Linked DNA regions of Arabidopsis thaliana. The protein of the gene in region 1 interacts with the protein of each later gene in a pairwise test. Each region holds a gene or a part of one and is shown in the gene's direction. Other genes may lie near its edges.

Region 1 (4,899 bases):
TCCCGTCCCTTCAATCGCTGCTCCTTGTCAATGTGGTGTATAAAGACCAAGATTCTCATGTTAGGCTTTTATTGAGTTGCCCTGTTCTCAGATATTTGTTGGTGATCCGAAATAAGAGTGACAATGTGACAAGGTTCATTGATTCGCAATCACTTGAAAAAAATGGTTCTGGTAGGTCATTGGTTATAGATTCCCCGGGATTAAATTACCTTAGCATCATTGACTCTTTAGGAGGCAATTTCTCCATCCAGAATATGCCATGCCTTGAAAAGGCCATCGTTTCCCTCTGTGGTTTTTACCCGAATGACAAGTTTCTGACATCTTTCTCCTCTGTCAAGTATCTCTATTTGGCTCATATCAAGGTAATTAACCAACCATTTTGATACCCTTCTCTCGTAATATATCTTATTTTCTTCGTGATACTATCGCTGCGTTTAATTACTTATGTTGTGTTCTGCTTCGTTCAAGTGCAGGTTGCGAGTTGTAGCACCATTAACTTCTCTCGGCTCATAGAGTTTCAGTTGTATCCTTCTTCCTCAGAGTATTGGATGGAGCCACTTATGCTTTTGCTTCATAATGCTCCTAAACTAAAAGCTCTTCTAATTTTTCTCTTCTACTTTTTCTCCCTTCTCTCCTTCTCTTCTACTTTTTCTCCCTTCTCTCATACCTTTTTTTTTTAATTTTTTTTTTCTTTTTTTGGGTATCTTATTGAGATACTTCCAATGGAGATGCTATTAGGATCAACTCTGTAAATATCTCTCTTGAAACGTGTTTAATTAGAATTCTTCCTTCTCAGCCTTTTATTGATCATGTTCCACTTTCTTGGAACCAACCAAGTTCTGTACCGCGATGCGTGTTGTCTCACCTTGAGATCTTGGAGTGGAAACTCTTTGAAGGAAGGAGAGAAGAGAAACAACTTCTGGCTTACATCCTCGAAAACTCTGAAGTCTTTGAAGACGGTGGAAATCTCACTGATACCTTTCACGAATGTTGAAGAGAAAAAGAAGATAAGGGAAGAGTTAGAGTCTATGTATAGGGTTTCAGCATCATCGCAGCTTCTGCTCAATATGCGATATATGTAGAAATTGAAAAATGAGCACTATTCAGCCGGAAGAAGATCCACTACGTTCCTTGTAAAGATTCATCATATTATCATGTCTGGTCCAACCTCAAAATCCATTTCTTAGATGATAATAATATTCTTCTTGGAAGGACGGCTAGCTAGCTGCTTGATGGTAATTAATATTCTCCTTCTCTATCTCGCTAATTTGCTAGCTTACTAATTGTTTTCATGGTATTTTGCCAATTCTTCATTTTACGATTCTTATGATATGCAGACGATTGATGGTCTGTCTTTTCATAAATAGATGCACATCTTCTAAGCAAGCAAATATGTTTTGACTTTTGAGATAAAGAATATCAAATGACTTTGTTTTTGGTATCTTTACAAGGAATGGATCAATAATCAGAGAGTTAATAACTTTTTCATTGTTGTTAAACCAAAAGATGATGATATTAATGACTATTCTTTTTAATATGTTTTCAGTTTCATCAATTTTGAATATTCATATTATATCATTGAATGTTCTTGTCTTTGCTTGCAAGCGAAACCAAAACTGGGCCTTCAAATTTCTCTAAAAACATAATTATTTATTGACAATGACATGCTAACAGTATCACGCATTTCTATACTATGTTCTAACTACATAAAATAGACTATAGAAGAAAACTGAATAAAAGAAATATGTTAAGCCAAGTATACACGTTTTTATTGCCAAAGATTGTTGATGTTATTATGTTTCCAAAGTCCAAAATAACACACCGAGTCATCATAACTTATACACTGATCAACATTAGTAAATCATTCTTCTCTTTATCTTGATCAGTGTCTTAATCAAAGATTAGTAGTAGATTTTAGTTTATTAGAATACTTTCCATTTTGGAGTCTCACATCCAATTAAAAAAAGGCAATCAAAAGAAAGGATCAAACCAAACCAGTTGAAGTGGTTCAGGTTCACTTCATCGATTCTAAAGTGGACAACACGCGCCAAAAGTTATCGTCGGTCGAGTCTTGACATGATTGAAATCTCCCAAAAAACTATGTAATAAAATTGAAAAATAATAATCAGAACTCTCAAATAAAATGTAGATTTGGTAAAGTACTCTCATCATAAATTAAAGATTGAAAAAGCTGAGAGTACCCAAAAAAAAAAAAAAAAAAAAAGCTAAAGATCCACCTCGAACTTCTCTCCATCTTTCTCAATCATCATCTAATTCTCAGATTCCGTTTCCTTCTTCCTTTTTCCTCTTCCTCTTCAAGCCACAAAGACTCATAAAAATCCAACCTTTTTCTCATTTCCTCTGTTAAATTTTTCCTGAAAAGTTTATTCCTTTTTCTACAGATCGAATTTCGTAGTTCTCACCTCACTGAATCTGTTACTTTCTCTATAATCTAAATCTTCAAAAATGTTTCTGGTTTTGTGAAATCAACACTTAAAAACTCGAGCTTTTACCTCCTCTGTTTTTTCAAAGATAAAAATGAGAGAAGACGATTCAGACTGGTTCGCAAGATGGGAAGAAGAACTTCCATCACCAGAAGAGCTCATGCCAATATCACAATCTCTAATCTCACCCGATCTAGCTCTAGCCTTCGATATACGAACCCCAAATCACGGAAACGGAAACTCAAACCAACCTCATCATCATCATCATCACCAAACCACACCTCCTACACCGTCTCAGCTTCAGCTTCCATCTTCTCAAGCCAATTCCTCAGCCGAATTCGCTGCAGATTCAGCAGATCTAGGCTCCGGAGGAGCTGCCGGAGACGAACCAGCTCGGACTTTAAAACGACCTCGTCTTGTCTGGACACCGCAGCTGCATAAACGTTTCGTTGATGCTGTTGCGCATTTAGGGATTAAGAACGCAGTTCCTAAAACGATTATGCAGCTTATGAGTGTTGATGGTTTAACTAGAGAAAACGTTGCGAGTCATTTGCAAAAGTATAGACTTTATCTTAAGAGAATGCAAGGTTTGTCTTCTGGTGGTGGTGCTGGTTCAGATCCAGCTACTGATCGTCTTTTCGCTAGCTCTCCTGTTCCTGCTCACTTTCTTCATCCTAATCGTGTTCCCAGTTCTGATCATTTCATGCCGTCTTTTGTTCCTATTGCTACTCTTCAACAACAACAACAAATGGCTGCTGCTGCGGCCGCTGCTGCAGCAGCTAATCCTCATTTACAACCGCCTCAGTTCCACCGTCAAATCGCAGCTGCGCATTTTGGTTCACCGACTAATGGTGGATTCAGTTCACCGACGAGTAATGGACAGTTTGGATCACCGACTAGTAATGGATTTGGATCACCGACGACTAATGGGAAGTTTGATCCTTCGTTCTTGGCGGTGAGGCAAACGCAGCAGCAACCAATTCAGAGAATGTCTACACCATCATTGCATAGTCCAGTTAGTAATTACGTTGAGGATTTGGAATCTGCAAACGCTAATGGAGGGAGAACTGTCTTAACTTTATTCCCAACTCGAGACGATTAAAAAGTCATTATCTTTCCGGTAATACTTCATCAAGATTCTGATTGTTGACCCTTTTTGTATTTGTGAACCATAGCTTGCTTTGTTGATTTATGTCAGGTTACTAGATGTTCAAAATGTCTCTGCAGTCATCAAGAACATGAGTCAGCTGATCGTTCTTGTGCATCGGTTTTATCCGGTGGCGTTTACTCTGTGCAGTCTTATCAGTTTAACATTGATACAATCCAGCGTCAATGTGTGGTCAAGTTCTGTATCTGAAGCTCAAGCACCTTCAGGTCAAGGCTTGTATTAACCCTTGTAGCTTTCTTGTGTAAGATTAATGTAAAGATGAGTTTACTTTTGAACGTACATCCGTACGAACAAACTCAAGATTGGAAAAAAGAATGAAAAAAACAAAAACTTACTTCACAATGTTCTTTGCTTTCCCATTTTGTTGTAGATTTGTTCTTAAAGCTGAGTTTAGCTGAGTTTGGTTGTAGCCTTTTACACTGAAAGTATATTGGAATTGCTGAAACTGTTTATTCAGTCACCTTTTTAACTCCATATATTATAAGGTTTTGATTTACAAGAATCAATGATGCAATAGTACAATGTGAAAATGATCATGAAGGAGACCAATAAGCAAAAGAGACAAAGACAATGGGAAGGCAGAATCAGAATGAAGAGGATCTGATGCTCTTACATCCTTAATCATACCCCAACTTATTCACTACTACCAATTATAAATAAAGTCGCAATACTATATGGAATCATTGAAGGGACCAAACCCAAATAAAGTTATATAGACTTATTTTTAGCTTTTATAATGAACGTTTAAATAATTTAGGAGATGAGTGATTTAAAGCAATGGTGGTGGGTTCATAGCTGGCATGTCCTGATCTTGTCTCTCCCAAGTCTGACCCCATCCCTTTTTTTTCTTCCTTTACAAAAAAAAGAATGTAAATTAAAGTTTTATTTATTCTGAAATAGACTTTTTGTTGAACTCGTTAATCGTTATATCAACTCTCTTTTACGGTTATTCACGTAAAGAGTGTGTATTACGATTATTTAATCTTGTAATGACCAAATCAAAGTACAAATAATATATTAAATAATTTTATAACTCTTGATTGGTTCTTTTCCCATAAGTCTAATCTTAAATATTAAATCCAAAAACATTGTTGATTGCCAATCCAAATTTATCCCCAAGTCTCTAATCGAATCTTGTGATTTGAGACCATCGGTCAAAGAAGTGATTTATCAGGAATTTTGGGAAAGTGTCTTCGTCTCTACAAACTTAGAAAAGGACCCTTCATGCCTTCACCACCTCATGTTCTTCTTTTATGTAACGAAAAACAATCATTTTCCATTTTTTAA
Region 2 (4,494 bases), about 16 Mb from region 1:
TTGAAGAAGATGTTCAAATCTGGAAAGGTAATGACTAAAGTAAAATGCTTGAACTTAACTAGAGTTCCTCCTTCTTTTGTTTGTTTCACTGAACCTGAGATGTTTTGAGTGATGTAGAAATGTCCGCGTTGACAAAATCCTTGTGCTGGGAACTTGTGACAATCAACAAGGATAAACTCAATGGTATTGGTGCTGCAATCTACCAGAAACCTGCCACCAATGAATGTTACGAGAAAAGAAAGCACAACAAGCCTCCACTGTGCAAAAACAACGACGATGCAAATGCAGCCTGGTATGATTGTTTCCACAATTTGCATAGGGAATGAATAACCATAAGGTTTTAACAGAACAAAGAAAGTCAAAACTTGAATGGAAATTTCAGGTATGTACCCCTACAAGCATGTATGCATAAAGTTCCTACCAATGTGGTCGAGAGAGGAAGCAAGTGGCCCGTGAATTGGCCCCGTCGGCTTCAAACACCGCCTTACTGGTTAAACAGCTCTCAAATGGGGATATATGGGAAACCAGCTCCTCGAGATTTCACTACAGATTATGAACACTGGAAACATGTTGTAAGCAAAGTATACATGAATGAAATAGGAATCAGCTGGTCAAATGTGAGGAATGTAATGGACATGCGAGCTGTCTACGGAGGGTGAGCATCAACGAAAACAAATCAAACTAAAATCTCACTTACCAAAACTAAACCTTTTTTTACTAACTACGTAAAAATGCAGGTTTGCAGCAGCTCTGAAGGACCTACAGGTGTGGGTAATGAATGTAGTAAACATAAATTCACCAGATACACTACCGATAATCTACGAGAGAGGCCTATTCGGAATATATCATGACTGGTGTGAATCATTTAGCACATACCCTCGAAGCTATGATCTCTTACATGCAGATCATCTTTTCTCAAAGTTGAGAACAAGGTATAAGCGTAACTCATAATATCCACACCTTTTGGTAACGTTTCATCAACAATAAGTCTCTTGTTTTGTTTTGTTTTGAAAGGTGCAATCTTGTTCCAGTAATGGCAGAAGTGGATAGAATAGTAAGACCAGGAGGTAAACTAATAGTTCGTGACGAATCAAATGTGATAAGAGAAGTTGAGAACATGTTGAAGTCACTGCACTGGGATGTTCACTTAACTTTCTCCAAACACCAAGAAGGAATCTTAAGTGCACAAAAAGGATTCTGGAGACCAGAAACTTCTCAATGAAAGACGCTCTGAGAATCTGCATTTGAAAGTAGCAGAAGCATCATTATAATACAACACACTACTCATATCTATAATCCCCAAAAGAATTTGTCAGTATAAGAAATAGCTTTAGTCTTCTTAAACTATATAGACTAATTAGAACATTTTTGTTTTCCTTACTTCATATTGCTTTTTTTAACATGGTTATGATATTCTCTTGTAAGGCTATGAATCATTTCACTGGGAAAAGTAAGGCACACCAATAAATGAAATTTTGTTCCAACAAGTAGAAACATAGCAGTAATGAAGAAGAGATTATGATGCTTTAGCGATACCACAAGCCAAATTCACCATAAGCTATTGACAGGTAGCGAAAAGTCAAATTACAAAAGGAATAAAGTAGACATGAAATGAAACCAACAATCTTAAGCCCACATATGAATTCAAAAGAGAGGTTAAGAAAGAAGAGAATCTGACATCATGGGCAGAGTAGGAGCTGAAGAAGATGGGTTTCTGCAAATTTGAAGCTTTTAATCGCATATCGCTGAGTAATCATCACAAACAGTTTTGAATTGAAGAAGACGGGAGGAGAAAAGCCATTGTTAATGAGATACCCAAATCGTAAAATTTCAGAAAGCCCAGCCCAACATAGCCCAATACAGCCCAAATATGTATGTGATTGGGTAACGAAAACGAGACCGTTCTTTTTTCAGTCATCTCTCGTTTCACAGTAGCGCGTATGTACGCTTTGAATTTACAAAAAGTAGACATTTTTATGAATTTTTGCCGGTTGAGTAAAAAGGTAAAAAAAAATAGTTCCCACCAAAGCAAAATATTTCAATTTTTATCTTTTTTTTTTGGTTCTTGGGAAAATAAGAGATTGAGAAAGAATAAAGAAGAGAAACTCACAACTTTTTTAGTTTTAGGAGAAGAGGGCTTTGGTCTGGAGTCACTATCATATTCAATGCTTTACCAAACTCACCTCTTCTTCTAAATTCTCACCACTCTTCTTCTTCTTCTCATTCACCGACATATCTCCTCTCTTCACTCTCTGTCTCTTCTCATCTCAGGTAATTCCAATTTTAGTTTTTTTTGAAGGTTACTTACTCGTCACATTGTTTGAAAAAGATTGAATTTTTATCTGTGGCTTAGTCAAATCATGGTTCGTTTCACCAAGTTGTGGTTCTGGGTTTTCGTGATTTTTCTTTTGGGTTTTTCTGTTTGAATTTGGAAAAATAAAGGAACGTTTTTTTTTTCGGGGGGAGTTTTTTTTTTAAAGATAATTTTTGGAGAGTTTTTGATAATTCTGAGGAAGCCAAAAGAAAAGAAGAAAACCTAATTTGTGTTGGTGGGGTTTGATAGGAAATAATGGAGAGTGTTGAATTGACGTTGAAGAACAGTAACATGAAAGACAAAACCCTAACCGGCGGCGCTCAAAATGGCGATGATTTCTCCGTCGACGACTTGCTTGACTTCTCAAAAGAAGAAGAAGACGACGACGTTTTGGTTGAGGATGAGGCTGAATTGAAAGTACAACGAAAAAGAGGAGTCTCTGACGAAAATACCCTTCACCGGAGCAACGATTTCTCCACCGCTGATTTCCACACTAGCGGGCTTTCCGTTCCGGTATGAATTTGTGTTTTCATTTTCGCAAAATTTATAAAAATTATCAGTCATTGCATTGTTAATTTCTTGCTTTTCATGTTTTGATTGTTAGATGGATGATATAGCGGAACTTGAATGGTTATCAAATTTCGTAGATGATTCTTCTTTCACGCCGTATTCTGCTCCGACGAATAAACCGGTTTGGTTAACCGGAAATCGGAGACATCTTGTACAACCGGTTAAAGAGGAGACCTGCTTCAAATCCCAACATCCGGCCGTCAAAACCAGACCCAAACGAGCCAGAACCGGAGTCAGAGTCTGGTCTCATGGTTCGCAGTCGTTAACCGACTCATCTTCAAGCTCTACAACATCTTCGTCGTCCTCTCCTCGTCCTTCAAGCCCTCTATGGCTCGCCAGCGGTCAGTTTCTTGATGAGCCAATGACTAAAACACAAAAGAAGAAGAAAGTTTGGAAAAACGCTGGTCAGACGCAAACGCAAACGCAGACGCAGACGCGGCAGTGTGGTCATTGTGGAGTTCAGAAAACGCCGCAGTGGAGAGCAGGACCATTAGGAGCGAAGACGTTGTGTAATGCGTGTGGTGTGCGTTACAAATCGGGTCGGTTACTACCCGAATATAGACCCGCTTGTAGCCCAACATTTTCGAGTGAGCTTCACTCAAACCACCACAGTAAAGTCATTGAGATGCGTAGGAAGAAAGAGACTTCTGACGGTGCTGAAGAAACCGGTTTGAACCAGCCGGTTCAGACGGTTCAGGTTGTCTCGAGTTTTTGAAGAAATTGTGGAAGGTTTTTAAAGGAGCAGAATTAGGATCCGACCCGGTTCAGATTTATCACCAGTTAGTATGTTAACGGGTTATGTATGTTTTAAATTACAAATTTGATTTTTTGTTTGTTAGTCGTAGTAGGTTTTTAGATTTAGTAACTGGTTAAAACTTTTAAAACTCTTACTATTATATTTGTTTTGTTTCGCATTAATTTTCAGAATTCTTTTTTTCTTAACCTCCTCTAACGTTATATTTACGTTATAATATATAGTTTTTATATTAATTGATAGAGATGGTTCATTTTCTAGTTAGAATGTATGCTCAATAATTATTGGTAGACTGATAGTTATCAAGTGTATAAAATATGAGATCAATTTATACCAAATTAGGAGTAGGCTTTATTTCAGGGTTAGTAACTCCAATTTTTTGTTGTTACTTATTTATATCCATCACATTTTCTCTTGTATTTCTAAAATTGACATAATATAACTGAAAAAAAAAACAAATTTCACAAATAAAAATATATACAATAACTGAAAAAAGAAAAATAAACGTACTGGGCACACTCTCTTATTGACTAATTTATTACTCTGCGTATTTTTGGAGATTGAATACGACCTTAGTTGACGTGATAATATTATCCATTTTTGCAATGTGATAATATTCGTTGACCATATCTTTGAGATTATCACGAATTACCAATTTACCTTGGGACTTTATTCCTCGTATGGTTTTAGTTGAGTTGACTATTAATAATAGCTTTTAGTACGTGTTTCGTAAATGCTGCATAATATGTAACTAACTAAACAATTCGAATATATATATACTAGTTTTAACATTCGTCTCACACGCTTAGCTTTCTCCTTCACAACGATGAAAACGTCTCCTGATTTCAAAAGTGAG

The links.
Region 2: the proteins of AT3G10760 (region 1) and GATA6 interact in a two-hybrid assay, tested with the Arabidopsis thaliana proteins (one large-scale study listed by BioGRID).

Annotation. Positions count from the first base shown.
Region 1 is NC_003074.8:3,367,276-3,372,174, forward strand, and holds AT3G10760 (Homeodomain-like superfamily protein), read left to right. Parts: upstream 1-2,203; 5' UTR 2,204-2,538; coding exon 2,539-3,546; 3' UTR 3,547-3,564; intron 3,565-3,642; 3' UTR 3,643-4,300; downstream 4,301-4,899. Other genes in the region: AT3G10750 (FBD domain family), read left to right, coding at 1-337, 781-994.
Region 2 is NC_003074.8:18,971,070-18,975,563, forward strand, and holds GATA6 (GATA transcription factor 6), read left to right. Parts: upstream 1-2,056; 5' UTR 2,057-2,271; intron 2,272-2,563; 5' UTR 2,564-2,569; coding exon 2,570-2,827; intron 2,828-2,918; coding exon 2,919-3,599; 3' UTR 3,600-3,823; downstream 3,824-4,494. Other genes in the region: AT3G51070 (S-adenosyl-L-methionine-dependent methyltransferases superfamily protein), read left to right, coding at 1-27, 118-292, 383-655, 738-932, 1,015-1,222. UniProt on the Arabidopsis thaliana protein: Transcriptional activator that specifically binds 5'-GATA-3' or 5'-GAT-3' motifs within gene promoters. May be involved in the regulation of some light-responsive genes.